Linked DNA regions of Tamandua tetradactyla. The protein of the gene in region 1 interacts with the protein of each later gene in a pairwise test. Links are inferred from orthologs where the notes say so. Each region holds a gene or a part of one and is shown in the gene's direction. Other genes may lie near its edges. The genes, in order: STK16, PLSCR3, TRIM42 and SAXO1.

Region 1 (8,016 bases):
TTATTTTCTAGTAGGGGAGGCAGATTAAAAAATATACAGGATGTTAGGACCAAGGATAGAAAAAAAGGACAGAGGATATAAAATGTTGTAGGGGAGGGGGCTTAAATTTCATAGAGGGTGGTCAGGGATGGCCTCACTGAGAAGTTGGTTTCTACAGGAAGATAAAGGGAGCACCACGTGCAAAGGCCTCAAGTATGACAGGCCTTTGTGGCTGGTGCCCTGTGAACAAGAAGGAGAAGACAGGATGTTAGGAAGTAACTGGGGTCAATTATATAGGGCCTTGTAGATCATTTTAAGGAATCCATGGCTCGTATTCTGAAGAGATAGAAACCTATTGGCAAGTCGAATGGAGAAGTGGTATGAACTAAGATACGTATTTAAACATTAACAGTGTTATACTGGCTGCTGTGCTGAGAACATGCTACATGGAGGGTGGGGGTGGGGCAAAACAAGGGAAACCAGTTAAGAAGCTATTAAAATAATCCAGGTGAGAGAGGTGGTTTGGACCAGGCTGATGGCAATGGGAGTGATTAAATGTAGTTGAATTCTGAAAGTATTCTGAGGATACAGCTGACAGGCTTTTCTGATGGAATAAATGTGAGGTGTGAGAGAAAGGCATAAGCCTGACCAATCAGTAAATGGAGTTGTTACTATCTGATATGAGTTGATTGTAGGAAGAGCTGATTTGGGGAAGCGATATCAAGAGCTTAGTTGTATCATTAAGCCTTTCAGATTTCCAAGTGGAGAAGTCAAGTAGGGAGTTGGATAAAAGTCAGGGGAAAAGACTGGAGATACACAGTAATTAAATTTAAAGTGATGAAAATAAATGAGAGCATCTGGGAATGATTTATTTCTAGAAAAGGGAAGGGTCCAAGGACTGGGCCCTGGAATAATCCAGCATTCAGCTGTATGCGAAATGGAGAAAAAGAGTCTATGGAGTGGTCAGAAAGATGGAGGGGAGTGGGAGAGACAAGATAAGTGTGATATCATGAAAGCTAAGAGAAGAGTACTTCAAAGGACAGACTGATCACCTGTGCTGATGCTGCTGCTTGGTCAGGAAGCATAAGGCCTAAAAGATCACCATGGATTTAGTGATGTAGAGGTCATGGTTTTGTTGAGAAAAACAGATCTCTTGTTCGTACTCCATCAATCCTTGATCATTTACAATGTATTTTATGGACAACTGAGTTTGGAAAATGCTTTGGTGAGCATAAAGCACGCCAACACTCAAGGAAGTAAAGCAGCCCCTGGAGAGTTCCCAGCAGATTTAAGGTATTTTGCCAGAGTGATCTTCTAAAAAGGTAAAATCAAATCAGTCATTCCCTTGCTCTTATGACTTCCTATTTTCATGCAGAATGAAATCCAAACTCCTTGAAATACTGAGCATTCTCAGAGCTTAATCCTGAATTCTCATCTTTTCTCTCGCTACACTTACTCCCCAGGTGAGATCTCATGGGATTTAAATGCTATCTGCAGACTGATGACTCCCAAATTTATCTCTCTAGCTCAAACTTCTTCCCTAAGTTCCAAACCCACACATCCTATTGCTTATTTAATATCCTCACTTGACTATGCCACAGATAATGAAAATTTAACATGACCAGAACAGAACCACTGTTTTTCTCTTCAAAGTTGTTCCTCTGCCACCACTAGTCTTCTCTGTCTTCCCTATGTCAGTTAATGGTACCACCATCCTGACTGGCCAGAAACTTGATTCCTTTCTTTCCGACCCTCCACCTTCCAATCAAAATCCATCAACAAGTCCTGATGATTTTTCTTACCAAACTATCTCCCAATTCTGCCCTTTCTTTTCATCTCCACCATCATCACCTTAATACTGGCTACCACCGTCTCTCTCCTCAACTTCAATCAGAGTCTCCCAATTAGGTTCTTCACCTCTATCTTACTTCCTCAATTCATTCTCCCCATCAGAGCTAATAAATCAGATCATGCCATACCAATAGCTTTCTACTGTACTTAAAACTCAAACCCTTTATTGTGATCTACAAGGTCCTGCATCAATTGTCTCTACCTTTCTCCAATGTCATGTTATACTATGCTCTCCTTCACCCACTATGCTCCAGCCATTCTGCCTTTTCAGTTATTCAATCATGTTCTTTCTCATCTTGGGCCTTAGAACATACACTGTACCCTCTACGTGGATGTTTTCATCTCACTCTTCACATGACCAGTGACTTCCCTTCCCTGAGGTCAAGTGAAATGTTTCTTTCTCATATAAGCCTTTCCTGACTACCCTACTTCTCTGTTATAGGCTATCTCAACTGTCTGTTTTCTCATGTGGTAATTTTACAGCTTGTGATTAATTTATTTATAGGTTTAATTTCTAAAAACCTGTCTCCACTATTTTATAAGGTCCATTTCATAGGAACTGGGTCTGTCTGTTGTGCCAGTTTCTAGCATCCTGCTGGACAAGTAGGAAACAATAAATAGTTGAATGAATGATCTCCAATTTGGGCATAGTGTTTCCTGTTTCTGGAACCCAAGTGACTCACGTTTTGTTGTTTGCTTTTCTCTGTGTTAAATCTTTTGCTTCAACTCACCTGGATCTGAGGTTCTCAGATGAATTTTAGGGTTTCGAAGCAACCAGGATGGGAGACCTCCCTGAGATAGACAAAAAAAACAACAAAGAAGAGTGTAGGTTTTGTTCTGCGGTGAAGTGGAGGAGGTAAGAAATTGAATGTAGTGCTGGAAGTGGCCCTAGAGCGTAGACAAATGGCAGTAGTCTAGGAACTGCACATGGAGGTTTGATTTTATCCCTTCTCCAACTAACTCACCATCTCCCACTCTGCACAGATGTAAGGTCCTGGTCTCAGGATGACGAACAGGTTCGCTAGAGCAGTCTCATGCAAAAACGCAAAGAGGTCCCGGCTGCCATTAAAGTTATAGACCCCAGGCTCTGGCTCATGATAGTTCCAGGGCACGTAACTGAGGAAGGAAGAGTTTAACAGGGCCCAAGGTGGGGAGATGCCAGGGAAACCTAAGAGCCCAGGCCCTGCAGGAAACTCCAGGATGCAGCTGGAAGGTGGTCCTTGTCTGTCCTTTCCCAATCTTTACCTGGGAGCCCAGGAGTCCCAACCACTCTATATTGAGTTTGTCTTCTTGCCCAACCCCATTCCTAAGGAAGCAGTATGGAGAGTAAATCCCGCCCCTCCACGGCTGTCACAAGCACTTCTTACAACTGTACAGCATTGAGGCCGCTCATTCGCATCTTTAATAGTCGGTCTGCCCAAAGCACCCGCGGTACCCGAAAATAGTGCATGCTTCCAGACACGTAACGGAACGGGACCCCGTCAAGGAGGAACCTGTCATTATACAGATCCACTACGAACGACCGAGTCTCTACCTGCAAAGCGAAGGTGAGATGGTGCTTAGCAGACATCTGGAGTGGGGGTCAGCGTCTGCCCAGAGCGGGGAAGATGGAATTAGCCCCGCCCATTGTCTTGTTATTACTTTTACTTTCTCTTCATCTGCCCGGTCTGATCCTGCCTCACCGCACCAGGCGGGAGAGTTCAACACTCCAGACTTACCTGGGCCCGCAGCAGCATCAGGAGCGGCAGTAGCAGGGAGGGAAGACAGGGCGGCTTCTTGGGAGCCATGGCGCTTACAGGGCTCCTCTAGTCTGAGACGGCGATCCGACCGTCACGTGGCGGATTCCTGGGAGGGAACTTCAGCGAGCAAGGGGGCGGAGACCACCCCAAATTGCCAGGCGGTTAGCCTAGACTTTGTTTCCAACCTTGCAGCCACCCGCCACTATAGTGGATCGTAAAGTTCTCTATATCTTGCTACTTAAAAGTGTAGCCCACAAACCAGCTTCATCAGCGTCACCAGGGAGCTTGTTAGAAAGGCAGACTATCAGGTCCAACCTCAGACCTATGGAATCAGGATTTGTATTTTAACAAGATCCCCAGGCGATCCTCTGTACATTCTAGATTGAGAAGCACCTCTCTACTATACTGAGCACCCTGAGGGCAGGGAGTGCCTTGTTCTTCAGCTTTAAGCACAGAGTCCAGCACATAGCAGGTTAATCTAGATGAGTGAATGCCAGAACCAAGGGAAATCGTAGGAAAATCTTCCTGATGACTGGGCATATGAATGGGGGAAAGCAGATTACACAAGGGATCTTTTTCTTGGAGGGGGCTGTTTCAGCAAAAGGGCCCATCCAGGCCATTTCATCTTCTTATCCCTGCCTGCTAAAGATGTCAGGGACAACTGCGTGGTGCTAAGATTTTGGAATTTGGGAATTTCCAAGCCTAGGATGTGAGGCCCAGGATACTTAGTATTATTATTATTGTTTATTGACACTTATTGAGAGCTTTGTGTCAGATATTGTGCTAAAGAACTGACATCTCACTTTATCCTCAGATAATTCTCTAAGGTAAATAATTATCATTCCAGTATTACAGAGGAGGAAACTGAGGGACAGAAATATTAAGTAAACTGTCCAAGGTCAAATAACTAGTTTAGTAGAGCTGAGATTTGAACTGGGCAGTTTGGCCTCACGGATCATGCAGTTAACCTTGGGTCCTACTATACCTATTTTAGAGCTAGTAAAGAGAGGCTTGAGAGGGGTTAAGTAACTTGCCTGAGGTGACACAGCTAGTAGGCTATTAAATCCGGATTTGGATCCTGACAGTGTGGTTCCAAAGTCTGAGCTCTCTTAATCACTAAGACTAGGGTAGTGAGATACAGTCCCCAGAGGCTGAATTGTTATCAGAGTTCCAGGAATCCAGCACTCCAGCACCCACCCCTCCCTGCGCTTCTGCAGCTCTCTGGTCCCAGCACGCCGGACATTTCAGGTCTCCTACCTCGGGCATTGGGAGAAGGAGGTCCTGGGGAACCTAGGGCTGGGCCCGGCTTTGCTCCCCTTTGACGCAGGTGCCTGCGTCTTGACCCCTACTGAAGGCCAGGTGGGGACCCTCTCCCGGGTCTTGGGACCCGTCCTCCCCCAGGTCTAGCCCGCCACAGGCCTCTCAGCTCGGCGCCTCCACATCTTCCGGGTACCCAGCCGTTGCTAGGATACCGCCGGCCGTTACGCCCGCGCGGACTGATGATGCAACCACTGCTTCCGGACTCTGGAGCTCCTGCCCGGGCCAGGTCAGTGGGGAGTCGCGACTAGCAGCCTATGCAGAGTTGGGGCTGGGTCCTGTAAGGGGTGGGCGTCAGGCTCGCACCTCCCCCGTAACTACTCGGTACTCTGACTTCGCGCCCGAAGGGCGTGGGAGTGGGGGCTGTCTAAAAGTAGATACGATTTGGAGGAAGCGGCCTGGTAACTGCTGCGTGGTCTGATGTTTTAAAGCTCCTCACCGCCGTCTTCTTGGAGCTAGCGTTGCCAGGTCCCATTTCCTCAAATGGGAATATAGGTCCCTGGACTTGGACTCTCCGCGTTGTTAATTCGGGGCCACTTGTACTGTGCCGGGCCCGCGACCCTGCCGTTCTATTCCTTCCAGCATGATTCGCTGGACCCCCTGCATATCGCCTGGAAAAACCCATTTACCCTTGATGAACCCTTCGGCAGCCTCAGACCGTCCTTGAGGAGGATGATTGAGACACTATGGGCCACGCACTGTGTGTCTGCTCTCGGGGCACTGTCATCATTGACAATAAGCGCTACCTCTTCATCCAGAAACTGGGGGAGGGGTAAGTGCTTGAAAATCAGTTTCTTGACTCCCAGAGTGATGGTGGATGAGGAACACCAGTTCGCTCGTGATAAGGGTACAAAAGCTTTATCCCCATCCTCTAACTCACCTGACAGGGCCTAGCCATATGGTCATCAAGAAAGTGGATTCTGGAGTCAGGCCTCCTAGATCCACCTTGTGTGGCCTTGGTAAGCCATGGTTTCTTTGTTTGCCTAGTGGGGGACAGTTATCATGCCTCACTGATAGAGTTGTGAGGATTAAATAAGATGATGCTTGTAAAATGTCTAGTGCAGGGCCTGGTGCATAAGCAGTTGGTAAATGTTGACTATTTTTCATTTCCTTGTTATTGAGCATCTTCATGTACAGAGCACGTTATGACCACAGGACCTAAAGGTGGTCATATCTCTGCTCTTGGGAGGCTCAAAGTGTAATAGCCTTGAGATGTCTCTTAGAGCCACATCTTGGGAGGGTTGCTACTAAAAGAGAAATACACCCCCTTCCTCTTCCCAGGGAATCCCCTCTGGGTTCAGGCAGTGTGGGAGATGACCGTGGTCCTTCACTGACCCTTTGGCCCACAGTGGGTTCAGCTATGTGGACCTAGTGGAGGGGTTACATGATGGACGCTTCTACGCCCTGAAGCGAATCCTGTGTCATGAGCAGCAGGACCGAGAGGAGGCCCAGCGAGAAGCAGACATGCATCGCCTCTTCCATCACCCCAACATCCTTCACCTCGTGGCTTACTGTCTGAAAGAACGGGGCTCTAAACAAGAGGCCTGGCTGCTGCTACCCTTCTTCAAGGTCAGAAGGACTCCTAGTTATGGAGGGGTTTCAACAGAGCCACCTGCCAAGGGCTGTGTGAGCAATCAAACATGTTAGGAAGCTGGGGCCATGTTCAGACTTTAGCCACTTCAGATTTGGGTTTTAGAGGAACCCAGGTGGTACTGTGAGGGTTTGAGGTGTATGTGGAGAAGGGGTTGATAGGCTTTGGCATAGGGAAAGGGTCATGTCCTGGGAGCAGAGAACTTGGAAGTCATTTCCAACTGCGGGGAAAACTGTGTTACAGAGAGGTACGCTGTGGAATGAGATAGAAAGGCTGAAGGACAAAGGCAAGTTCTTGACTGAGGATCAAATCCTGCTGTTGCTGCTGGGTATCTGCAGAGGCCTCGAAGCCATTCATGCCAAGGGTTATGCCCACAGGTTAGTGGGAAGACCCTGTGTACCTGCTGGGGCAGAGGGGAAGAGCCTTACCAGGAGAAATGGGAGGTCTCTGTTTTCCTGAGAAACAGCCCCATGATTCTTTTGCTCTCTAGGGGTCCAGCCTCCCTGTCCAGGGGTGGTCACAATTCATTTCCACTTCCTTATAGAGACCTGAAGCCCACCAACATCTTGCTTGGAGACGAGGGGCAGCCAATTTTAATGGACTTGGGTTCCATGAATCAGGCATGCATTCAGGTGGACAGCTCCCGCCAGGCTCTGGCCCTACAGGTGAGAGTCTCCTGGTTCCTTTGCCCATGTGTTCCCTATCCCCAGCCCTTTTTGATATATACCCCAATTTAGCACTGGACCGTGACCTGTGCCTCACTTTTGGGCTCTGGGGCCACTGTTCCAGGACTGGGCAGCCCAGCGATGCACCATCTCCTATCGGGCTCCAGAGCTCTTCTCTGTGCAAAGCCACTGTGTCATCGATGAACGGACTGACGTCTGGGTAAGGAGCATGTGGGTAGAAATCTGGGCAGGGGTAGAATGCTGCTCTGTACCCACTGGTGGTAGAGGAATACGTCTTTGGTTTCTACCACATGGGGCCTCAGGAACCCTGGTATGTCCCCATCCCCCCTTGACTTCCTTCCTGGGAACTGTCAGTGATACCATACTCAGTTGTTCAGGAAGTGATATAATCCCTGCCCCTGAACAGGGTGGATACAGCTAAGTACCAGAACTGAAGGCAGTAACTAGACAAGGAATGCAGAGGCTTCCAGCTAACTGACAGTTTCTCTGGGCCATGGTGGTGCCATGTGGCTGAGGTTGGCGTATTCTTTTTTGACTTATGCAGCTCCTTTCTCTACACTAGTAAAGAAGGGATATCACCTTCATTGGTCCATTCTAGGGAATAACCAAGTGGTGCTCAGTCCCTAGGCTGTGTGCTGTATGCCATGATGTTTGGGGAAGGTCCTTATGACATGGTGTTCCAGAAAGGTGACAGTGTGGCCCTGGCGGTACAGAACCAACTCAGCATCCCGCAAAGCCCCAGGTGAGCTATAAAAGGGGCACCAACAGTGAGTAAAAAAGTATTTGCAGAATCTCTTGGGGGAATGGTGAGAAAGAGGGAAAATTCAACTTCCCCAAGTGGAGAATTCTTGAT
Region 2 (7,651 bases), on another chromosome or scaffold:
GCTTTCCTGGCTCCTATAATTCCCACAGAAAATTATGGGATAATTTCAATGTCAGATAAATTCTGAAACCCAGAGGGACCAGCATGTCCAAGATTGTCAATTAATTACATCCCCCTATCCTTTAGTGCTGACACCCTTTCTCAAATGAAAAGGTCACAATGGGCATTGCTCAAAGATCCCCTATAGATTAGGGGAAGGATGAAAGGAGAAGGAGGAGATGTAACAAAGAGAATAGGATTTGGCAAATGAGTATGACTGCTGAATATATTAATATTCCTCAAGTGTTCAAGAGCAGGTAGAAGGAAAAATCTGAGCTGGAATGGTAGCCCATGGCAAACTCTGGCATCTGTTCTGTCATTACTTATTGAAGTGTGCTTTGAAAATTATTGCTGTTTTTCTCCTTTGCTTTGTATATATGGTATATTTTACAATAAAAAGCATTTTTAAAAAAAGGTGTACAGACCACTTCTGCAAATGCTGGGATTTTTAGGTAGTCTCATTCAGCCCCATATTTTCCATTACAATGTACATGTTTTAAATCTGGAATTTTTCCCTCTCGTGCTTGTACCTACTGAGCTCCAGACTCCAGACCCTCTGCAGTGTAGTACAGCATTCTGTGGAGGCCTGAAGGAGTCAGGTTATGGGTGGAGGGTAGGAGGGCACCTTCTGGGCCCAAACAAGGGCTTTTGAGGCAGCCCTGAAGCGAGAGAGCTCAGTGAATCAGGGACCTGAAGGAGTTCCCAGGGGCTGACTTGAAGATCATGAGAGAACAGAAATGAGAGATGAGAATTGCAGGACCAAACGGTGGAGGGCCTTGTGCTGAGAAGTTGGGCTCTCTTCTGAAGGCCATGGGAAGCCACAGAAGCATTTATATCCAGGGAGATGGCATGATTTGAAGAACATTAGTGGAAGATCACAGTATTTCTTCATTTTACAAATGAGTAAACTGAGGCCTCAGAGGGGTTCAGCATGGCCCACAGAGAGTGACACAGTCAAGACTGGAACCCCAGGCTCCTCCCTTCCACTCCAATGCTCTTGCAGCATTTCCATCCTTCTTCTCAGGCAGTTTCTGGGGTGCAGAGGGAACCTCCCAGACCCCAGGCACCTGGAAAGGCCACCCTCTGTGTAACGGGAACCCTCTGACCCTAGCTTTGGTCCTGTCTGTGGACCAGGCTCTCAAGAGGTGGAGTGAATTCCAATTCACGTCCTGGAGCTGACCAAGAAAAAATTTTGGACCACTAGATGGCAGTGGCACACAAGCTATTTACTGGGAGCTGCTGCTTTGACAGGTTTGCTGGTGCCGGGAGGACCCCCCCCACCCCCACCCCACTCCCCAGCAGGAAGACTTCCAGAGATCAGCAGCACTGGGAAGCCACCAGAGGAGAAGCAAAGCAAGGGAAAACTCCCAAACTCCTTGGGGAGAGGAGAAAGGAAGACAAGAAGGGGGCTTAAGTGTCCAGGTGTTGCAGAGCCAGCACAGCTTTCGGAAGGGAGCAGAGGGCCCAGAGTATCCTGGCCAGAGAGTGTGGGTCCCCAAGAAATATGGGGCCTAATGCTTGCAGATTCCTGTCTAATCAACTGGGAATAAACACTAGGCAAAGCTTGGCAAAGAAGTTTCCTGGGATACGCAAAGCCAGTTAACTCCAAATGGCTAAAAGTTGCTTACTTAAGCTATTTTTAAAACCAATGGATGGGTAAGAATTTGGGTGTCGGTGGGTTTTTCTAACAGAACCCAGGTTGCTGTGAAGAGGTAAACAACACACAGGGCCACTCCACAGAGGCTATCCTTGCCTCATTTATAGACCAGGAACCAAGGGAAATGAGGCCTGTTTGGTAACTGGTCCCTACTATTACAGCACCACAAGGTCAGGGAAAGTGAGGCTCAGAGAGAAGTAACTTGTTCTATATTACACAGCCAGGACCTGAGTAAGCTGTAATTCTAACTCTCCTCCATTCAACCCCCAAAAGCTAAGTATTTTTCCTTCTTCAACAGTGTCAAGAAACTCAGATTCCCACAATGAAGACAGTTTAGAATGATAATTAAATAAAATGTGTTCAGTGTTACAAGTAGATGCTGTTTTGCCTTTGTTTGGGCTTGTTTTGCCTTTGGGATTGGGAAGCCTTCAGTTTTTTTCTGGGTTTTAAGCACCAGCAAAGAAGGAGAAAACCATACTGGTAACACCACCAATCAAGAGTAGTAACAGGAGTGCCTGGAGCTCAGGATTGGGTGGGCGGGCAGGAAACAGCCAAGCAGAGAAAGCGTGGGGCACATACTGTGCCAGATGGACTGGTGGGCCAGTTTAGTAGCCTCCAGGGTCTTTTACACCAGGCACTTATAGGCTCTGCTTAGACTGTTAAGAAAATCATCCAAGGAGGTCTGGCTGGGAAGCTGCTGCTTTAAAAATGAGGGCCTGGATTTGAGCAGGGGCCACATAGGTAAGGAGAAGGGAAAGGATACAAAGGACAGCTCAGAGAGGGAAAAGATGGTAGATCTGCAGAATGAACAGGAGGATCAGACAACGGTGACACCAACTGCTTGGTGTGTCACCCACTGGAAGAGGCAGAAGGAAGAGAGTTGTGTTGGACATGCCCAAACTCACCCCTGATCTATCCCCACCCCTCGCAGCCTTCCCCATCTCAGTGGCAGCTCCATCCTTCAAGCTGCTCAGGCGAAAAGTCCAAGTCTAACTTTGACTTCTCTTTTCCTCTCTCACATGCCACTTGCAAGCCATCATCAAACACATATTCAGAATCAGACCATTTTTTACCACCTGTGTGGCTGCCACCCTGCTCTATGTCACCATCACATCTTTCCTAGAATTTGACATTTATTTCTGCCTTTGCCTATTTTACAGGCTACTCTTGATCAAAGAATCCTGAGAGAGAGAACCTGCTTCTACAGTAGTAGTCCTCAACCTTGACTGCCCATTAAAATTTGCTGGTAAATTCTCAAAAATAGTGTAATTTAATTGGTATGGAGTGGGGCTTAGGCTAAGTACGTACAAGGTATTTTTTTAAGACAGGGTTGAGAAACATTGTTCCAATAATAATTCAGATCATGTCACTCTGCCCAAACCTGCCAACACTTTTCATCTCACTTGAAGCATAATTCATTAGTCATCAAGGCCACTGATGATCTGGCCTCCTGTTACCTCTCTGACCTCCCTCTTGTTCCCTCCATTCCCGCCACAGTGGCTTCCTTTATTCACTAAACAGTTAAGACTCACTTCCCCCTCGCCCTTGATAGGGCCTCTGCCTAAAACACTCTTCTCACAGAAGTCTGCCCGACTCAATCCCTCCCCTCCTGAAAGTTTTGGCTCATCTGTCATCTCAGTGATGCCTTCCTAGTCCATCCTATTTAAACCCCTGCCCACCACTTCCTGTCCTCCTTGTTCTGCTGTTTTTCTTCGTAGCATTTCTCACTGTCTGACTCCCAGTGTATTATATTTACTTATCATCTGTCTCTTCTCCACTAGAAAGTAAGCCCTGGGAGGTCAGGAATTGTTGTCCATTTTGTTTACTGCTATATATTTCTATCATCTCAAATGCTGTCTGGCATGTAAGAGGTGCTCAATAAACTTGGTTGAGTAATTGAATTTCTGTATATTTATGTGTTGTGACAGAGCGTGGCACATGGTTTGGGCCACAGGGAGTTAGAGGCATTAAGGAATACCAGGGGAAAGGGCAGGCATTTGGCCTGGAGCCAAGGATGACTGAAGTGTGGAAGGGGTGAAAAGAAGCCCTGGAAGAAAAGGGCCAGGACCAGACCAGAGGAACATGTTCATGTTGGTGGCAGGCACCTAGACTCATCCTGTACTCCTCCTCACCTCCACTTCTCACCCACCAACTAAGAATATCTCTAAAAGCTACCACTCTTAGTCTCCATTGCCCCAGCGATTGCCAACCCTCCCCAGACCAATGCCAAGAACCCAGCCAGGGAACACGGCTCTTCACGCTAGAGTTTGAAAGGTCTTCCTAAAACACAAATTTGACCTTCTTCCTCAGTCTTTTTTTTTTTTATTTTTCTTCCTCAGTCTTAAAAGCCTGCTGCCTTGGGGATCAAGTCCCCAGCCTCTGCAGCTCTCCCTCTCTAAACTCATCTCCTGTCACTCAGTCTGTGGGCCACCAAGGCACACGACTTCCTCACCCCTGCGAGGGAGCCGACTCAGGACCCCCGTGAAGTGACTCCTTTCAGGGGAAGCCTTCTCACAGCACTTCCTCGGCCAGCCCTGAGCCTCACCTCACGCACACACGATTGGCACTGTTTTGGCGGCCTGCCACCCACGTGGCTAGGGGTGCCTGAAGGAAGTAACTTGCAAGTGTCTGCGTGGGTCGCCGCAGCATCCCGGCCCCCTCAGGGACCCACTCGAGGTATGGCCCCAGGGAGGCGGAAAGGGAGCCAGGGGAGTCTGAAGTCAAAGAAGGGTGTGAAGACTGTTACGCTGCGTCAGCGAGACCCGATCCGCCCTTCGGAGGAGGAGCCGGGAGTGCGGAGCGGCCCGGCAGCGAGGCGCAGCACGGGCGGCCCGCGCTTCCCAACAGGGGGCGCCGAGCACTCCGAGCCCGCCGACGCGGCGGGCGTCGCCGGGCTGGTCTCTGAGGGATCCCCTCCCCAGGCGCCCTTCCTTTCTAGGCATCTGCAGCCGGAGCGGAAGGGGCGGAGACGCCAGCCGAGCGAAGACGTTAGGGACCCGGGTGCGCGGCCCCGCGAGAGAGCCGGCTTCCTCTCTGCGCAGGCGCGCCGCAGGGCGAGAGGGGCGGGACCTGGACGGGTCGGGGGCGGAGTCAAATCCTGGGCCCGCCTCCAAGAACTCCCGGGAGCCGCGGAGCGCGGGGCACCGGGGCAATTCTGGGGGCTTCAGGTGAGCGGTGGGCACGGAGGGGGCAGGGAGACCTCGCTCGAGGTCGGGCCGTCGGTGTGAACGCGGGTGCATCCGTCCTGTCGCCCGTCGCCGGCCGCCTCTGCGGAGAATAGGAGGACAAAGAGAGGGGATGGTTCTGGGCCCCCTGAGCGAATCCAGAGTCCCTGGTACCTCTCCCTGCCCGCTGACACTTTCGGTTTCTCCCCGAGTATAGAGACGCGCCGCCCACGAGCCCCTGGGCTGGCGCCGGGCGCAGCTGCTTCTCCGCCTTTGCCTCTCCGTCTTTGTGTCTGTCTCTGTGTCAATCTGGCTGTCTCCGAGCTCCAGAACTAACCGGACCCCGCATCCCGCGGACCCCCGCCCCTTTCCCATGGCAGGTAAGTGGGCTCAAGGCCGGGGGTCTCCGTTATCCCCCCACGGACTTGGGAGCCTGGTGTCGCACACATCCTCCGGGAATGTGCTCCAACTGGCTGCACGGGGCCCCTCCCTTCCTCCCGGGCAGCCGCCGCCCTGCACCCACGCCCCATCTTTCTCGGCCTCTTCCCACCCCATTTTCCTCAAAGCCCCGTGGCTCGTGGATGGAGGGGTGAGAGGGTGAGGCTGCAGGTCTCTCTAAAATCGACCCCTGAACCCACAGCATACTCGCCCCCAATAGGTTACGCCCCTTCGCCCCCACCTCCCTACCCTGTGACCGCCGGGTTTCCGGAGCCGGCGCTGCATCCTGGGCCCAGGCAGGCGCCAGTGCCCTCCCAGGGGCCTTCCCCCGCGCCCGGCTTCGGTGTTTTCCTCTCGCCCGGCCCAGTGGCCGCGGGGTCTGCTGCCCCCTTCTTGCCACTGCCGGGGGTGCCTTCTGGCCTCGAATTCATGGTGCAGGTGAGTGGAGGGGGCAGGGATAACCGGGAGGGCCCGGGAGCCCAGGTCGGCCAGCTGACCTCGGTGCCGCCTCTACTCTTTCTAGATTGACCAGATTTTGATTCACCAGAAGGTTGAGCGAGTGGAAGGTGAGTGGAGGGAGGAGTAGGTTGGACCCGTGACTGGGGCTAGAGATGGTGGGCTTTGGGGTCTAGGCCGACGCCTGAGTCTCAGTGTCACTACCCGGCAGCGTTCCTAGGCTGGGAGGCCCGCAACCGGTATGAACTGCGTTCGGGGGCGGGACAGCCCTTGGGCCGGGCAGCTGAGGAGAGTAACGTCTGCGCCCGCCTGTGCTGCGGTGCCCGCCGGCCGCTGCGCATCCGCCTGGCGGACCCCTGGAACCGCGAGGTGCTGCACCTGCTCCGACCGCTCCACTGTGGCTGCAGCTGCTGCCCCTGCGGCCTCCAAGAGGTGGGTGGGGATGGGGTACTGTGTGATGGGGTAGAACCAGGGATAAGGCATGGCTCTGGTGGGCATGGGCAATTGAGGATGGGCAGGACCAGGGGTGAGGCATGGCGAGTGAGGATGGGAGGGTATAGTGAAAGGGCCACGTAGACAGGAACTAGAGTGGGTGCCAATGAGTACTTGGGCCAGTTGCCTCACTCAGCAGTGACCCTGTCTGCCTCCCACTACAGATGGAAGTACAGGCTCCACCTGGCATCACCATTGGCCATGTGCTACAGACCTGGCATCCTTTCCTCCCCAAGTTCTCCATCCAGGATGCTGATCGCCAGACAATCCTACGGGTGGTGGGGCCCTACTGGACCTGTGGCTGTGGCACAAATACCAACTTTGAGGTATCAGGAATAAGGGTAGATTCCTGGGAACCTCATGAGGCAGGATGGCCAACACTAAAGTGGAAACTCTGAGCTCACTAATCCAAATTCATTGTGCCCCTTTCTGCATTTCCGATTTTTCTCCATTCTGATTAGGATGGTCCTGTGGGCATGGCAAGGAGGGTTTTGTCTTAAGGACCAGTGCTGATTATTACCTACAGACCTATGTTGAAAAATCTGAGGCCAGCCTGGATTTGGGATTTACTGAGTCTGCCGTGGGCTGGTCCCAGGTGGCTGCTGTGTGTGACTTTGTAAGCTCAGGCCCTGGAATGAGTGCTAATTTGACTTGTAAACGTCTTGTGGCTTGTCCTGCCAACCTAGAAAGCCAATTAGTCCCTCTAACCTAGAACACCATCCATTTCTATCACCAACATGGAGCCTGAAGACCCAAATCGGCTAGGTGAGGCCTGAGGAAAACCTTAGTTTCTAAAGGGAAAAGGCACTACAGACCCGTGAGTTCTTTAAGGGATAATTACCTCTGCAGATAAAGGAGAACAACAGGTATAAACTAGCAGCCTTTCCAAAGCTTCTGATTAGCTGTGTTACCTAAAGTTATTTTTAAAAATTCAGTCACCTTGGTAGCTGGAGGAGGTTCTGTGATGGGAACTGGTTGTGAAATAACTGGGTGATCCCTCGGATAGGAATGTATAGACTGTGGGGTTCTCACAGGATCAGCCTCCCTTTGGCATAATTATAAATGGTCCATATTTGGGGATGCACCCTTGGAAACTGCAGGGATGGCTAGGATAGGGAGATAGAAAGGACCTAGAAGGACTATATTTCTAATCCCTGGAGAATGAGCCTAGGATAAGGACCAGGGAGTTTTGAATTACCACCACCTTGGCAGGACCAGTTGCTGCTGGACTCAGACTGGTGGACATCATGGTCCTCAGATACCACATATGGCTGTTTTCCCCTCTCCACCATTAGATGGACTCGGATCCCTTTTAGAAGAGGCACGCAATGCTAACAGGGCCCTCCCCTACTTTGCAGATGAGAGAAAAGGCAGATATAATCCTCCAGTGTCTTGTTGGCTGGTGG
Region 3 (7,812 bases), on another chromosome or scaffold:
CTAAAAACTTCCCAGATTTGCTGAAAGCTATGAATGCTAAACACCAAGCGGAATGGGCTCAAAGATTATGATCAAATGTCAAGAATAATGCAGAATTTTAAAAACAGCAAGAGTCAAGCAATGCATCATATATAAGGAATTTTTACTAAGATGACGAACCAATTTCTCAATAGAAACCCTGGAGTCCAGAAGATAGTGAGACAACATATTTGAAGTGCTGAAAGAAAAAATCCACCAACCAAGAATTCTGTATACCCCAAAGGATTAAAAATACATGTTCATGCAAGCACTTGTACATGAATGCTCATTGCACCATTATTCATAATAGTCAAATAGTGAAAACAATCCAAATGTCAATGTGGTATATCCATATAATAGACCATCATTCAGCCATTAAAAAGAAAGTGGTGGGGAACTTCTGGGGAAGATAGCACAGTAGGGAGCTCCAGGATGCAGTCCTTCCACCAAACAGCTACTAAACAGGCAGGAACCATCTGAAACAAATGTTATGGGGCCCTGGAGACCAGCAGAAGGAAGAGGCTGGTAAACCACAGTGGCAAAGAACAGCAAGTTGCTCTCTTCAAGCAGAGGCTCTTGGCCCCCATTCCCCACTCTTACAGCTGGGTGCTATGAGGCCCAGTCCTAGGCCACCTCACTGGGGACAGAGAGGGACATAAAATGCTCTTCCCCAAGAACAGGGGTGGGTGCAGTAGATCACTGATCATGCCTTTTGATTAGTGAATTTGGATCACTGGGTCCTGGCTCTGAGCTTGTATTTCAACCTGCCTGGAAAAAGGCAGCAGCAGCAGTTTTTTAACCTTGCTCTTGACAGGGGCAGACTTGGTGGAGATTTGAACACACAGTGCTTCATGGGGGCTCTGGGGGTGATGAGCTGAGGGGCTGCACTTGCTAGAAAGGCCAGAAAAGCACAGAATTGGGGACCATCCTTTCTTGAGGAAACCCTTCAACAACTAGGAATCGAAGGAAACTTCCTCAACATGATAAAGGGCATGTATGAAAACCCAGAGCTAGCATTGTACTCGGTTGTGAAAGCTTTCCCTCCAAGATATGGGATAAGACAAGGATGCCTACTGTCACCACCGCTCTAGAAGTTCTAGCCAGAATAGTAAAGCAAGAAAAAGAAATAAAAGACATCTAAATTGGAAAAGAAGAAGTGACACTGTCACTATCTGCAGATGACATGATCCTATACAGACAGTCCCAAAGTGTCTACAACAAAGATACTAGAGCTAATAAAGCTGTTTAACAAAGTGATGGGATAAAAGCTCAACATGCAAAAATCAGTAGTGCTTCCATACACTAGTAATGAGCGATCTGGTTCAATGAAATCCCAATCAAAATCCCAACAGCCTACTTTACAGAAATAGAAAAACCAATTATCAAATTTATTTGGAAGGATAAGGGCCCCCAATAGCAAAAAAATATCTTGGAAAAAAAAGAACAAAGTTGTAAGACAAACACTTATTGACTTTAAAGCTTTTACAAAGCTACAATGGTCAAAGCATCATGGTTCTGCCATAGGGACATTATATTAACCAATGAAATCAAATGAGAGCTTAGGAATAGACTCTCATATCTAAGACCAATTGATTTTTGATGAGATTGCTAAGTTTAGAATAGTCTGTTCAACAAATGGTGTTAGAAGAACTGGATATCCATAGGCAGAAGAATGAAAGAGGACCCTATCTCACACACTATACAAAAATTATCTCAAAATGGATCAAAGACCTACTTATATGCACCAGGACTATGAAAGTTCTAGAAGAAAATGTAGGTAAGCATCTTCAAGATCTTATAGTAGGCAATGGTTTCTTAGACTTTACATCCAAAACACAAGCAGTGAAAGAAAAAAACTAGATAAATGGGAGCTCCTCAAAACTAAAAATGTTTGTGCATCAATAGAATTTGTCATGAAATTGAAAAGACCACCTACTCAATGGGAAAAAATATTTGGAAGCCACATACCCAATAATGATTTAATATCCAAAATATATAAAGAAACCCTATAACTCAACAATTAAAAGACAAACAACCCAATTTACAAATGGGCAAAAAACTTGAATAGACATTTCTCCAAAGAGAATACATAAATGGCTAAAACGCAAATGAAGAGATGCTCGACATCACTAGTGATTAGGGAAATGTAAATCAAAACCGCAATGAGGTATCATTTCACACTGACTACAATGGCCACTATTTAAAGAAAAAACAGAAAACTAGAAGTGTTGGAGAGGCTGTGGGCAAATAAGAGCATTCATTCATGTAAAGTGGTTTAGCCTCTGTGGAAGATAGTTTGGCAGTTCCACAGGAAGCTAAGTGTGCAATTAACGAGGTGATTTAGCAATCCCAGTACTGTATGTGTATCTATATCTAGAAGAATTGAAAACCATGGACTGTAGCAAATATTTGTACACTGATACTCATAGAGGCATTATTCACAATTGCCAAAAGATGGAAGAAACCCAAGTTTCCATCAGCTGATAAACAGATAAACAAATGTGGTGTCTACATACGATGGAATATTATTCAACCGTAAAAAGGAATGAAGTCTTAATGCACGTGACAACATGGGTGAACCTGGAGGACAGTATGCTAGCCAGACACAAAAAGACAAATATGGCATGATCTCACTTTTGTGAACTAATTATAATAAGCAAACTCAAAGAGTTCCTATCTAAATATAAATTACCTGGAGATAGACTGGGGTTGGAGAATGGGGATTTGATGCTTAGACTTGTACGGAACTTCTATTTAGGCTAATAGTTAAGGTGTGAATTTCTATTTAGGCTAATGGTTAAGGTGTGGAAATGGATGGCGGCAATGGGAGCACATTATTGGGTGTGTCATCAACAGCACTGAGCTATAGAGGTGAATGTGTTTAAAAGGGGAAACTTTAGGATGTATATATTACTAGAATAAAATTTAAAAAATAAGACATGGGATTGTACAACACAGCAAATCCTATTATAGATGACTGACTATGGCTAATAGTATAAGAATGCTCTTTCATAAATTATAAAAAATATACAACAGTAATACAAGGTGTCAGTGACAGGGTAGGAATGGGGAAAATACACCTAATGTAAATTACGGATGACATAATAGTACGATTTTAATAATTTTTCATCAATTGTGACAAAGGTAACTGCTATTAAAATATATATAGTACAATTATTTTTAAAGTGCTATCATCAGTTATATTGAGGGTTTGGTGGTGTATGAGAATCTCGTATTTTATGCATAGTTGTTTGTAAAGCCACAAATTCTCTAATAAAAATCTTTCAAAAAGGAATGAAATACCTGATACATGCTACAGTGTGGATGACCTTGAAAATATTATGTGAAGTGAAAGAAGTCAGACACAAAAGGCCACAAATTCAGTGATTCCATTTCTATGCACTACTCAGTACAGGTAAAAATCACAGTGACACAAAGTAGAGTAGCGGGTGGTGGGCAGGGGCCGGGGGTGGGTGGGTGAGATGAGGAGTGGCTGCTAATGGGTACAGTCACTTTGGGGATATGATAACACTATTTTGGAATTAGAGAGCGGTGATGGTTGCACAACCACACAAATATATTAAAAGCACTGAACTGTACACTTTTACATGGAAAATTTTATGGGATCTGAATTATGTCTCAATTAATAAGAACAGGAGGCTTTGCACAGACCAGTGATGAAAAGGCACCATAAATCCATAACCAACTCAGATCTCAGCACCTGGGGACAGAAAGAAATAGAGACAAAATTGCAGTTGGGCAGACATGCGGGAAAAGGTGTCTTTCAAACATTGTTGGTATCAGTGTAAACTGACACATACATTTCAGCAAGCAATTTAGTAGTATCTATAAAAAATAAATCAAATACTCTGTGATCTAGGATTTTCACTTGAAGGGTCGTAAAAACAATTTGTGGCTGGCAGCGAGTCAGCACTCAGTGAAGAGTCTTTTCTATTAAAAAGGTGACGGTCACAGAAAGAGATCATAAATTATGCAAAAAAAACACTGCAGCCACACTCAATTCTCACATCTGTTTCACACAGTGTTTATGTCATAATACTGTATGACAATGAACTTTCTGACCTTTAATCTTTGTAAGGCACATAAGGTGCAAAGAAAAATTCTCCTCTAAAACATAAGGTCTATTTACTAAGGATCCTTCTGTAGAATTCTGCACTTTGTAAAAGGGCTATATTGGGGACAGTGCAGGGGGGAAGCAAACAGCTTGAGTCTCATCAAGCATTAGAAAAGTCAAGAAATATTTGGGGTAACTTAAGCATGAAGACTTCTGGAAATCAGCAGTGACTATACAGCAAATGACAAACTCAACAACTACAGAAAGAAGTGCTAATTGTACCTAATTCTTCTTTTCCTTTAGTTCTTTCTCCATTATATTTTTAAATGTGACATTGCTAATATTTGTAAACACTGTGCTTTGTTCATCAAATAGATAGCTCTATCTATGCAAAAATAAATAAAGAAAGAAAGAAGAAGAAGAGAGAAAAAACATGTCAGTCTATATTCACAATCATATCCAGACCTTTCAGCCTATGAAGACGTACCTGGAGTCAGCTTGTCCAAACTGCAGTCACAGAAGCAAGGAGAATTAGATTCTGAAATCTGATCTATAACCCAGAGGTGACAAATGACAGCTAAACCTCTAGGATGTCATTGCATCACTTCCTGAAGCTGGTCCTGTGGAAGCATGGATTGTCCATCAGCTCACCTTGCTGCCAGGTGTCCCCACTGCTGCCCCACCTACCCAGGGTGGTGAGAGGTGGTAGGGAGACAGGAATTGTGACATAAGCAAAGGCCCTCCAGCTGATACATGCATATGCCAGCCCCTGAGCTTCCTAGTAAGGACACCACCTGTGAAGGCCTTGCCACAGCCGACCTGCTCAGCCGCCAAGCTGACCAACTCCTCGGGCGGGGGGAGCCACGGCAGGATTCTGGTAGAGGAGGGACCACAAGCCCCAGGGGGCAGGGTGCAATCATGTAGGCGCCATGGAGACCGCTATGTGTGTCTGCTCACCCTGCTGTACATGGCAGAGGTGTTGTCCCCAGCTGTGCTCCTGTCTGTGCTGCAAGTTCCTCTTCACCTCGGAGCGCAACTGCACCTGTTTCCCCTGCCCCTACAAGGATGAGCGCAACTGTCAGTGCTGCCACTGCACCTGCTCCGAGAACCCCAACTGCCACTGGTGTTGCTGCTCCTGGGCCAATGACCCCAACTGCAAGTACTGCTGCATGGCCAGCAGCAACCTCATGTGCCACTACTATGAGAGTCGCTGCTGCCGCAACGCCACCATCACCTTCCGCAGGGGCCGCCTCAAGAGCATCCGCACCTCGTAAGTGCCAGCACCCAATGGGCTAAGGAGAGCCGGGGGACAAGGCCGGTGCACCCCTAAGCCTGTCTCTCCATCTGAAAAACAGATGCCCACTCTTTTGTAACATTAAGTGTATCCCAAACAGCCATAAACCACGTGCAGGCCAGAGTTTCAAATCCAAGCTCTAATGGTGAGGAGGAGCTGCACTCTCCTGGCCTCCACTTGCTCATCTGTGCACGGGCACAGCAGCGGGTACTGGGTATTAGGGCACCATCACTACCAGGCACTGCCTGCACGACCCCACCTAACCCTCCCACCACCCACACTGAACTGATGATGAAATCAAGCCTTTGAGAGGTTCATTTGCCCAGGATCACACAGCTATTGAGATGTCAGGATCTGAACCCAGAGTCTTTGATCTTAACTTTAAAAGGCTGTACTGCAAAGCAAAGGCACCCATGCGTGCCAGGGTACAGAGGCCTGAGGATGACTGAATAGGCTTTGTAATCTGCTGGGCAGTATTAAAATATAAGTCGTTCTTCCTCCACTGAGCATGACATCTGCACCATTAACTGGGCAAAATAATCACATCCACAGGCGAGTTTAGACCCCTATATAAGTACTGCATCCCCCTTTGAACTCCTATCTGCCTTCTGCTCTTTCCTATCCAAAAGTCACAGCACCTACAGTCTCAGTTGGGGCGTTCACCCTCCATGCCAGGCATTACACAGCCCCTCCCTGGTCTGGCCAGGCCAGTCTTTTATGTCACATGTGAGGAAGGTATGGAGTAATGTGGGCAGACTTCTCAGAGGAGAACAGATCAAAGCTCAGCCCCATAAGATGACAGAATTTGGTGAGACAGAGAAGCAGGAGGTAAGTTTGGATCTTTCTGAGGCTAGAAAAGCAATTCTATGAGCAAAGTTGCGGTGGCTCTGGGGGAGGAGTACAATCCGTCTTGCATTCAAGCACTTAGTAGATGCTTAGTGGCTGGGACGCTCTCCACCAATGGGCTTCTCATTGGTGCACGCGTGACTAGAGAGTCCAGGAATTCCGGGTGCATGTCAGAACACTCTAGGGTGTGGAGAGTAGAGTCCACACCCCCTCTCCGCACAACCGCCTTGCTCTCTGCGTGTCAGCAACACAGATTTGCTAAGCCCATTTCAGCAGCAAGGGGGGCGATGAGCTCGGCAGGAGCTTTGAGAGGATGGTAAGACCAGTGGCTCCCACACTGTGCTGTGCGTTAGAACCATCTGGGGACAGGGACGTACAGGAAACGCAAGAAGGTCAAGGCAGGGGGAACAGCCATGGAATCAAGACCAAAATCCAAACCTTGCTAATGGGATCAGAGGTGAAGGGATAGGCACAGCCACAAACTGTTTCTGTCCACTCCTTCATTCCCACAGCAAACCGTGTCTTTTCATGAACTGCTTTTGCTCTGATTGGAGCCTTTAGAAGCTACACTTGTATTTTACAAGTAAGCTTTATTTCACCTAGAATGCTTACATTCCAGGAAACAAGCCCCAAAAACATTCAGCATAACATAATTAGACAAAGCATCTTAAACACACACACACAAGACGCTAGAAGCACACACTTTGCACGGACTTGACCGCTAGTTTCCTCTGCTGTGGACATGAGCTGGCTGGCCGCGGACAGGAGTAATTACAACAGCCACATGCACCATTATAATTATGTACCAGCATCTAGGCACATAGCATAGATTTTTCTCTTTGTAGAAACCTCACGAAGGAAGTACTATTGTGGGCCTTGATTCACAGATGAAGCAACAGGCTGAGAGAAGTGGTGCCTTCCAGCTCACTTCTAACCGTCACTGCCTGGTCCAGGGGGCAGAGCTCATGGGCTCTAGAACTGGCATAGCTACTGAGCTCCTGCCCTGGGAGAGGCCCTGTCTCCTGCCCCAACTCCTGGGTTCCAACCGACGTACACAAATAATAATGTCCATAACCTCCAGGCAGAAACAAGCAAGAATACACTGTAATTGGAACAAAAGTGGATGTATTGACCCACTGCAACAAGGGAGGCACCCCAGGAAACTGTGAGGTGTCTCAGTCAGAGGGTGTCAATAAAGTATAGGACTGGGGCTCGAAGTAGGTGAGGAGGTGGGGGGGGGGACCTCTTAGTGGGTGTCGCACTAAGTCTTACCTAGAAGGCAGGGGGACCAGGTGAGCCCCCCAGTTGCCATTGGTAAAGAAGCAGGAACTGGTGTTAACTGGGAGAGACAGATGTCTGGTCAATTTTGTGGTTTGAGTAACGTTCCTATTTTTGTCTGGTTCAGACATGATTGTGTTTTGATCCATGACAGTCCCCAGGTGGGCTTGTCTGACATTAGCGTCCAGTGATATTGCTTCTGTCCGACAGGAACTTCCCCGCCCCCAACCCCCAGGCCAGCAGATAGGCCCAGGGTGGTCCCAGTTCCAGGGCTGCTTTACTCTTGTTCAAAGAGCAGTTC
Region 4 (7,440 bases), on another chromosome or scaffold:
CATATTTAATCAGTAATTCACAATATCATCACATAGTTGCATATTCATCATCATGATCATTTCTTAGAACATTTGCATCAATTCAGAAAAAGAAATAAAAAGACAACAGAAAAAAATTCATACATACCATATCCCTTGCCCCTCCCTTTCTCCACCCAGTTTTTGTTGATAAAATTTAATACTTTTGTTTATAGACACTAAAATTTGAATTTTATATAATTTTCACATCACATAAAATTCTTTTTTTTTCATACAAAAACAGGTAAACAGGTGGCAGGTTGGACTTGAACCACAGACAATAGTTTGCCACTGTCTGTTCCAGAGCCTAACTGACATGGAAGAAAACAAAATCCCCAAGTTTCCTTTGGCCTAAGATGACTCTGATTGACTCACTCATTCACTTAAACTAATGGGAAGAGTTAGGAAGTTTGGGAAAGAAAAATAGGCAAAGGCTTATTAATAGCTTAAGTTGCCATTTCCTATAACCAGGAAGTTATGTTCAATTCCAAACAACCTGCCAGAGCAGTCCTGTCTCCTGAATTTGCTTCATGATCAGAATCACCTGGGTTTTTTTTGCTAAAACTAGAGAGTCAATGTAGGAGGGTTCAGGCCAGCAATTTGAAGTGGCTCTCAGGAGCAAGTAAGTTAGAGAAACACTGCATCAAGGGGAGGTTCTCAAAGCCTGGTCCTGGACCCAGGAGAATCAGCAGCGCTTAGGAACTTGTTAGAAATGAATATTTTTGGCCCCACACATGCCTTTCTGAATCAGAAACTCCAGGGGGTAAGAGCCTGGCAAACTGGTGCTTATCAAGCCTTCCAGGTGATTCTGATGCACAAAATCTGAAAACCAGTGCTTCAAGGGTCCACATTACCACCTGGAAGATTGCGCACCGTATGACCAGTAGAGGCCTGGCGCTTTAAACTGCTTTGGTCTCAAGGGAGCAAGGTCTGTGTGTGGGAGCAATTCTCAAAAGGCACTTGAAGCCACAGGCGTGGATTTCCCCAAGGAAGATCTGGAAAGGGCATTTTTTTTTTTATTAATTTTTAAATTTAAAAAAAAGACTAGAAAGAAACACAAACATTCTTAACATATGGTCATCCATTCTACATATATAATCAGTAATTCACAATATCATCACATAGTTGCATATTGATCATCATGATCATTTCTTAGAACATTTGCATCAATTCAGAAAAAGAAAAAAAACAGAAAAAGAAATCAAACGAAAACAGAAAAAAAAATTATACATACCATACCCCTTACCCCTTCCTTTCATTGATCACTAGCATTTCAAAATAAATTTATTTTAACAATTGTTCCCCCTATTATTTATTTTTATTCCATATGTTCTACTCGTCTGTTAACAAGGTAGATAAAAGGAGCATCAGACACAAGGTTTTCACAATTACACAGTCACATTGCGAAAGCTATATCATTATTCAATCATCTCCAAGAAACATGGCTACTGGAACACAGCTCTACATCTTCAGGCAGTTCCCTCCAGCCTCTCCATTACATCCTGAATAACAAGGTGATATGTACTTAATGAGTAAGAATAACCTCCAGAATGACCTCTCGACTCTGGAATCTCTCAGCCATTGACACTTTGTCTCATTTCACTCTTCCCCCTTTTGGTCCAGAAGGTTTTCTCAATCCCTTGATGCTGAGTCACAGCTCATTCTAGGGTTTTTCTCAATCCTGTGATGCTGAGTCTCAGCTCATTCTAGGATTTCTGTCCCAAGTTGCCAGGAAGGTCCACACCCCTGGGAGTCATGTCCCATGTAGACAGGGGGAGGGTGGTGAGTTGGCTTGATGTGTTGGCTGGAGAGAGAGGCCACATCTGAGCAACAAAAGAGGCTCTCTTGGGGGCGACTCTTAGGCCTAATTTTAAGTAGGCTTGACCTATCCTTTGAGGGATTATGTATCATATGAACAAGCCCCAAGACTGGGGGCTCAGCCTAGAGCTTTGGTTGTCCACACTGCTTGTGAGAATATCAAGAATTCAACTTGGGGAGGTTGAATTTTCCCCTGTTCTCACCATTCCCCGAAGGGGACTTTGCAAATACTTTTCCACTCACTGATTGAACCACTCTGGGATTCATCGGGTCATCACGGTGGAAAAATCAACAAAATCTCATGTCCTACCCAAGGTTCCATGTACTTATGATGTTCAACCAAGCTATCCTCATAAGTTATATTAGGAAATGCACTAGTCAAAATATAAATTTTGCACCAAATAAACATTTTTTGCTTTAGTCTCACACATAAGTTGAAATTTTAAAATATTAATTACCATCTATTTTCAGCACCCTGCAGTAATGACATTCCTTTGTGCTTCCTCATGCAAAAACATTTTTTAAATTTGCACATTTAGTTACTATCATGATACACTCTAGGCATTCCTAGATTATACCATCTCAATCTTTAACATCTGTCTTTCTTTCTGATTTCATTTATGTCCCCAGCCCTCCTCCCTCAATCATTCTCACATTCAGCTTCATTCAGTGTTTTAACATAATTGTATTACAGTTAGGTAGTATTGTGCTGTCCATTTCTGAGTTTTTATATTCAGTCCTGTTGCACAATCTGTATCTCTTTAGCTCCAATTACCCAATATCTTACGCTATTTCTATCTCCTGGTGGTCTCTGTTACCAGCGAAACATTCCAAGTTTATTCACTAATGTCAGTTCATATCAGTGAGACCACACAGTATTTGTCCTTTTGTTTCTGGCTAATCTCACTCAGCATAATGTCCTTAAGGTCCATTCATGTTGTTACATACTTCATAACTTTATTCTGTCTTACAGCTGCATAATATTCCACCGTATGTATATACCGCCGTTTGTTTAGCCACTCGTCTGTTGATGGACGTTTTGGCTGTTTCCATCTCTTTGCAGTTGTAAATAATGCTGCTATAAACATTTGTGTGCCAATGTCTGTTTGTGTCTTTGCCCTTATGTCCTTTGAGTAGATACCTAGCAACGGTACTGCCAGGTCATATGGCAATTCTATATTCAGCTTTTTGAGGAACCGCCAAACTGCCTTCCACAGTGGTTGCACCATTTGACATTCCCACCAACAGTGGATAAGTGTGCCTCTTTCTCCACATCCTCTCCAGCTCTTGTCATTTTCTGTTTTGTTGATAATGGCCGTTCTGGTGGGTGTGAGATGATATCTCATTGTGGTTTTGATTTGCATTTCTCTAATGGCCAGGGAAGTTGAGCATCTCTTCATGTGCCTTTTGGCCATTTGTATTTCCTCTTCTGAGAAGTATCTGTTCAAGTCTTCTTCCCATTTTGTAATTGGATTGGCTGTCTTTTTGTTGTTGAGTCGAACAATCTCTTTATAAATTCTGGATACTAGAACTTTATCTGCTATGTTGTTTCCAAATATTGTCTCCCATTGTGTAGGCTGTCTTTTTACTTTCTTGATGAAGTTCTTTGATGCACAAATGTGTTTAATTTTGAGGAGTTCCCATTTCTTTCTTTCTGTCTTCAATGCTCTTGCTTTGGGTGTAAGGTCTAGAAAACCGCCTCCAAGTATAAGATTTATAAGATATTTCCCTATCTTTTCTTCTAACACTTTTATGGTCTTAGATCTAATGTTTAGGTCTTTGATCCAATTTGAGTTAACTTTTGTATAGGGTGTGAGATATGGGTCCTCTTTCATTCTTTTGCATATGGATATCCAGTTCTCTAGGGACCATTTATTGAAGAGACTGTTCTGTCCCAGGTGAGTTGGCTTGACTGCCTTATCAAAGATCAAATGTCCATAGATGAGAGGGTCTATATCTGAACACTCTATCCGATCCCATTGGTCAGCATATCTATCTTTATGCCAGTACCATGCTGTTTTGACCACTGTAGCTTCATAATATGCCTTAAAATCAGGTAGCGTGAGACCTCCGACTTCATTTTTTTTTTCTCAGGATACTTTTAGCTATTTGGGGCACCCTGCCCTTCCGGATAAATTTGGTTATTGGTTTTTCTATTTCTGAAAAGGAAGTTTTTGGGATTTTAATTTGTATTGCATTGTACCTGTAAATCAATTTAGGTAGAATCGACATCTTAACTATATTTAGTCTGGAAAGGGCATTTAAGGTTAGTCTTCTGGAGGTCAAGGGATGCATTTCTATAAAAAAAGAGAACCACGGATCCTAGAGACAGAAAATGCCACATAATGTGATGGCAGTGGCCTTTTCAGCTTTTCTGTACAGGCGATCGTGGCATTTGCTGATAAGCGCACCCACGAGCTTTCCAAAGTCCACCTTCCTTTATGTTTTTCCAAGGTCCAGTGGGGTAAATCTTGTCCTGGGCTTTCCAAGTGGGGTACTGGGGACTCCCTCACGTCACAAGTGGCCCTTGTGATGTCATTGCCATCTAGATATGTGCCCTTCCTGGCCCACGACGTCACAGAGAGTCCTCATTTCCCCTGGCGGGACACCGCTCCACGTGCATGGGTCCGGGGCGCAGAGGCTGGGGCGGCCGCGTGCATGGGGAGGTGGCCAGGGCTGGCGCGCCATCCGCCCTCCCTGCTGCCCCTCGTGCAAGGCCAGCATAAGGAAGGCAACAGATCACAGGGCTTTGCAAAAGGGCCTCTTAAATTTTCTTTTGAATAAATACGGAGAACATTTGCCCAGGACCTTGAGACTTGGTGTGCCCCCAGTGAGGCGGCTGGGGCACACCGGGCGGCAGGGGCGGCAGGGGCGGCAGGGGATGTTCTACGTGGACACAGGTCCTTAGGATGGCCCCTTCGAAGAGGAAGTGCATCTGCGACTTGTGCTCTTGCGGGTAAGGTTGCCCGGCCCAGCGCAAGGCGGGGGGCTGGGCGTGGGGTGTGGGCCTCTGGAGGTAAGCGAAGCCACTTTCTGGAAAGCTAGGCTGAGGACTCATCTTGTGTTGATTAATCAGGCAGCATCGCGGTGGATTCTCCACCTGTCAACCATTATTATTAGGCTGCAGTGTTATGGCAGATTCATCGCCATCCTTACCGTCAGCTAGAGTTTAAAGCTCTGGGGTTGAATCAATCCTGGCGAATGGGGCTGCACCCCCTTTCCCCTGTTCAGCCACTTCACAGCTGTGCGGAGGTTGCAACATGGACGCAGCTCGGCAGAGAGTTTGTGCTCCCTTCCCTGTAGCTGGAGAAAGTATCAGATGGAAAATCCCTTGTCCAGTCTTGTGGGTTTTTTTTTTTTTTTGGTTGTGCTTTTCGGAATGGAATGGAGATGAGGAAGAGGGTTTCTTTAATGTAACTGAGTTTCTCAGATAAATTGTGGTTACTTTGTCAAAGAAGTATAAAGTTTTTGTAAAACTTGTTTCCATGCGGTGTAAAATTGAAGGAGAATAATGAAAGGGAGATTGCTTTCACAAGCTATCAGGTTTCTCCTGGCCCTTTGCCTTTAGGACCATGCCTGGGGTGAAGCACAGTTACGGACAGGTGGTCCCAGGGAGACATTCTCCTCATCAGAGTTTTGTGGCTGCCTACTCAGTGTCAGGCACACTGGGAGCTGAGCCTCTCACCTGCTTCACAGGACAACTTGGGGAGCCACCAAGATGGGGCAGCAGAGAAGCAACAGATAAGAGGGTGGGCACTGGGCCAGCTCTCCTGTGTTGCCACTCCTTGTGGATCTAGGGCAGGTAACTGGACTTCTCCATGCCATATGCCATAGTTTCTTCTTCTGTATCACCTGTGCCTACCAGGTAGGATTGTAAGGAATAAATGAATTATGCATGTGAGCCTCCTGAAATCTGAAAAAAGTGCTTTCCAATTTAATATGCTTCATGAATACAACAAAAAATGACATCATTGTAGACGGAGGAGGCGGGGATTAAAGGACTCACTAAAATCTGTGTTACAAGGTTTGAAACCTTGTACCATCTCTAGCATGGCTGAATGGTTCTCAACCCTGGCTGCTCATTAGAATCACCTGGGGTGGGGGTGGGTTAAAGCTACTGTCAGTTGCTCAGGCTGCTATATCACAATCTCTGATGGAGGGCCCCAGGCAGTGCCCTTTGGGCGATTCTGACCATTTGCCAGGATTGGGAACCCCTGAGCTGGATCACAAACTTGTGTATGCCTTTTTTTGTATGCTGTATGGCGGGCGGGGATGGTCACGTTTCATTATTTTTCCATGTGAGTATCCTGTTGTTGCAGCACCATTTGTTGAATTTTTGCTTACTTGTGTGTTTTTTGTTTGTTTGTTTGTTTTGGGGAGTGCATGGACCAGGAATCGAACCCAAGTCTCCCGCATGTCAGGCAAGAATTCTACCATTGAACTACCCTCGCACCTCCTGTGCCTTGTTTTTAAGCTTTGTTAAGTAGGACTCTCTTCCGTAGACTTGCTCCTGTAACCTGTGGCTGCCTAGAAGGGCCTCCCTGGATTTCAACTCTGTCTGGACTAAGGGAAACCACTGGATTCACCCTGGGATCCCCCTCCCTGCTCCATAGCTTGGAGACTGTACTAAGGGTGTGGTGGGGGTGCTATTCACAAAAACAAAGGGGCTATCGCCTTTGTTTCCCACCTCTCGGGGATCATTATTCTTTGCGTGATGTTTGCATGTCTTGAAAAGCCTTATATCATATATTTTGTACAGTTTTTAAAGTTTTCCCTGTTACTCCACCTTTGCCCAAAATGGAAGGGGAGAACGCATTGTTCCATTGGCGTTGCCTCCTTCCCTTTCTCCTGCTCTTGGGTTTTGGGATAATGCCTCAAGTAAGCTATTTGCACTCACATTCTTGTTTCAGGATCTGCTTTTGGGGATGCTCAAGTGAAGACAGCTTTAATTGTTTCTTTTTATTTTGTGGTCTGCCTTAGCTGGCTTAGGTTTCCCTTTTTATCTAAAGGTCCCCTCCATCCAGGGGCCTTTACAGCACCCCTTCTGCCTCCTCCTTTTCTGGGAGCAGACCCCCCTCATTCCCCACTCTCTCCTGCAGTCCCAATTTCCCTTTCTTCATTAGCTCTTTCACTTAAGTGTCCAAACATGGGAAGAGGCCCTCTATCTAAGAAAAATATACACTTATTTAAAAGCAGCAAACCCCCCCAAAAAAGTCCCCTAGTTCTTCCATGTGCTATTCAGTTCTATTTTTCTCCCCATGGTCAGTCAGATCTAACGAACCAGTGACAAACACCTGCTGCCTCTACCCCTCATCCTGGCTCGCCCTGATAATCCTGCAGCCTGCTTCATCTCCTTTACCCTGGGGGAACAATTTTAATTCAGCCAGCATTTTCTTGGGCTTCCCGTGGTGTCCAATATTGGGCTCACTGCTATGGGGTTCATGGTGTTTGGTGGTCCTTGCCCTAAGGGCGTCTGGAGTGGGGTAGGCTATAGGACCTGGGAGGATTTCTCCTGCTGGGCTGTCACTCCTTGATATGTTGTTCTAGTTTGCTAGCTGCTGGAATGCAACACACCAGAGATGGTTTGGCTTTTAATAAAAGGGA

What was found.
Region 2: the proteins of STK16 (region 1) and PLSCR3 interact in binary tests that used the Homo sapiens proteins (3 or more experiments, as listed by UniProt). The two-hybrid records come from large-scale screens. The link is inferred for Tamandua tetradactyla from reciprocal best matches to the Homo sapiens genes STK16 and PLSCR3.
Region 3: the proteins of STK16 (region 1) and TRIM42 interact in binary tests that used the Homo sapiens proteins (3 or more experiments, as listed by UniProt). The two-hybrid records come from large-scale screens. The link is inferred for Tamandua tetradactyla from reciprocal best matches to the Homo sapiens genes STK16 and TRIM42.
Region 4: the proteins of STK16 (region 1) and SAXO1 interact in binary tests that used the Homo sapiens proteins (3 or more experiments, as listed by UniProt). The two-hybrid records come from large-scale screens. The link is inferred for Tamandua tetradactyla from reciprocal best matches to the Homo sapiens genes STK16 and SAXO1.

The regions. Positions count from the first base shown.
Region 1 is NC_135329.1:194,982,171-194,990,186, forward strand, and holds the start of STK16 (serine/threonine-protein kinase 16), read left to right. Parts: upstream 1-5,010; 5' UTR 5,011-5,115; intron 5,116-5,468; 5' UTR 5,469-5,572; coding exon 5,573-5,658; intron 5,659-6,235; coding exon 6,236-6,455; intron 6,456-6,720; coding exon 6,721-6,854; intron 6,855-7,021; coding exon 7,022-7,142; intron 7,143-7,266; coding exon 7,267-7,362; intron 7,363-7,783; coding exon 7,784-7,905; intron 7,906-8,016. Other genes in the region: GLB1L (beta-galactosidase-1-like protein), read right to left, coding at 2,562-2,622, 2,796-2,946, 3,198-3,364, 3,549-3,617. UniProt on the Homo sapiens protein: Membrane-associated protein kinase that phosphorylates on serine and threonine residues. In vitro substrates include DRG1, ENO1 and EIF4EBP1. Also autophosphorylates. May be involved in secretory vesicle trafficking or intracellular signaling.
Region 2 is NC_135332.1:61,241,081-61,248,731, reverse strand, and holds the start of PLSCR3 (phospholipid scramblase 3), read left to right. Parts: upstream 1-4,651; 5' UTR 4,652-4,862; intron 4,863-5,071; exon of another isoform or gene 5,072-5,076; 5' UTR 5,077-5,232; coding exon 5,233-5,239; intron 5,240-5,517; coding exon 5,518-5,735; intron 5,736-5,820; coding exon 5,821-5,863; intron 5,864-5,964; coding exon 5,965-6,185; intron 6,186-6,409; coding exon 6,410-6,571; intron 6,572-7,651. UniProt on the Homo sapiens protein: Catalyzes calcium-induced ATP-independent rapid bidirectional and non-specific movement of the phospholipids (lipid scrambling or lipid flip-flop) between the inner and outer membrane of the mitochondria.
Region 3 is NC_135341.1:84,768,982-84,776,793, forward strand, and holds the start of TRIM42 (tripartite motif-containing protein 42), read left to right. Parts: upstream 1-4,811; 5' UTR 4,812-5,022; coding exon 5,023-5,363; intron 5,364-7,812.
Region 4 is NC_135328.1:78,080,777-78,088,216, forward strand, and holds the start of SAXO1 (stabilizer of axonemal microtubules 1), read left to right. Parts: upstream 1-4,431; 5' UTR 4,432-4,745; coding exon 4,746-4,792; intron 4,793-7,440. UniProt on the Homo sapiens protein: May play a role in the regulation of cilium length. Stabilizes microtubules at low temperature.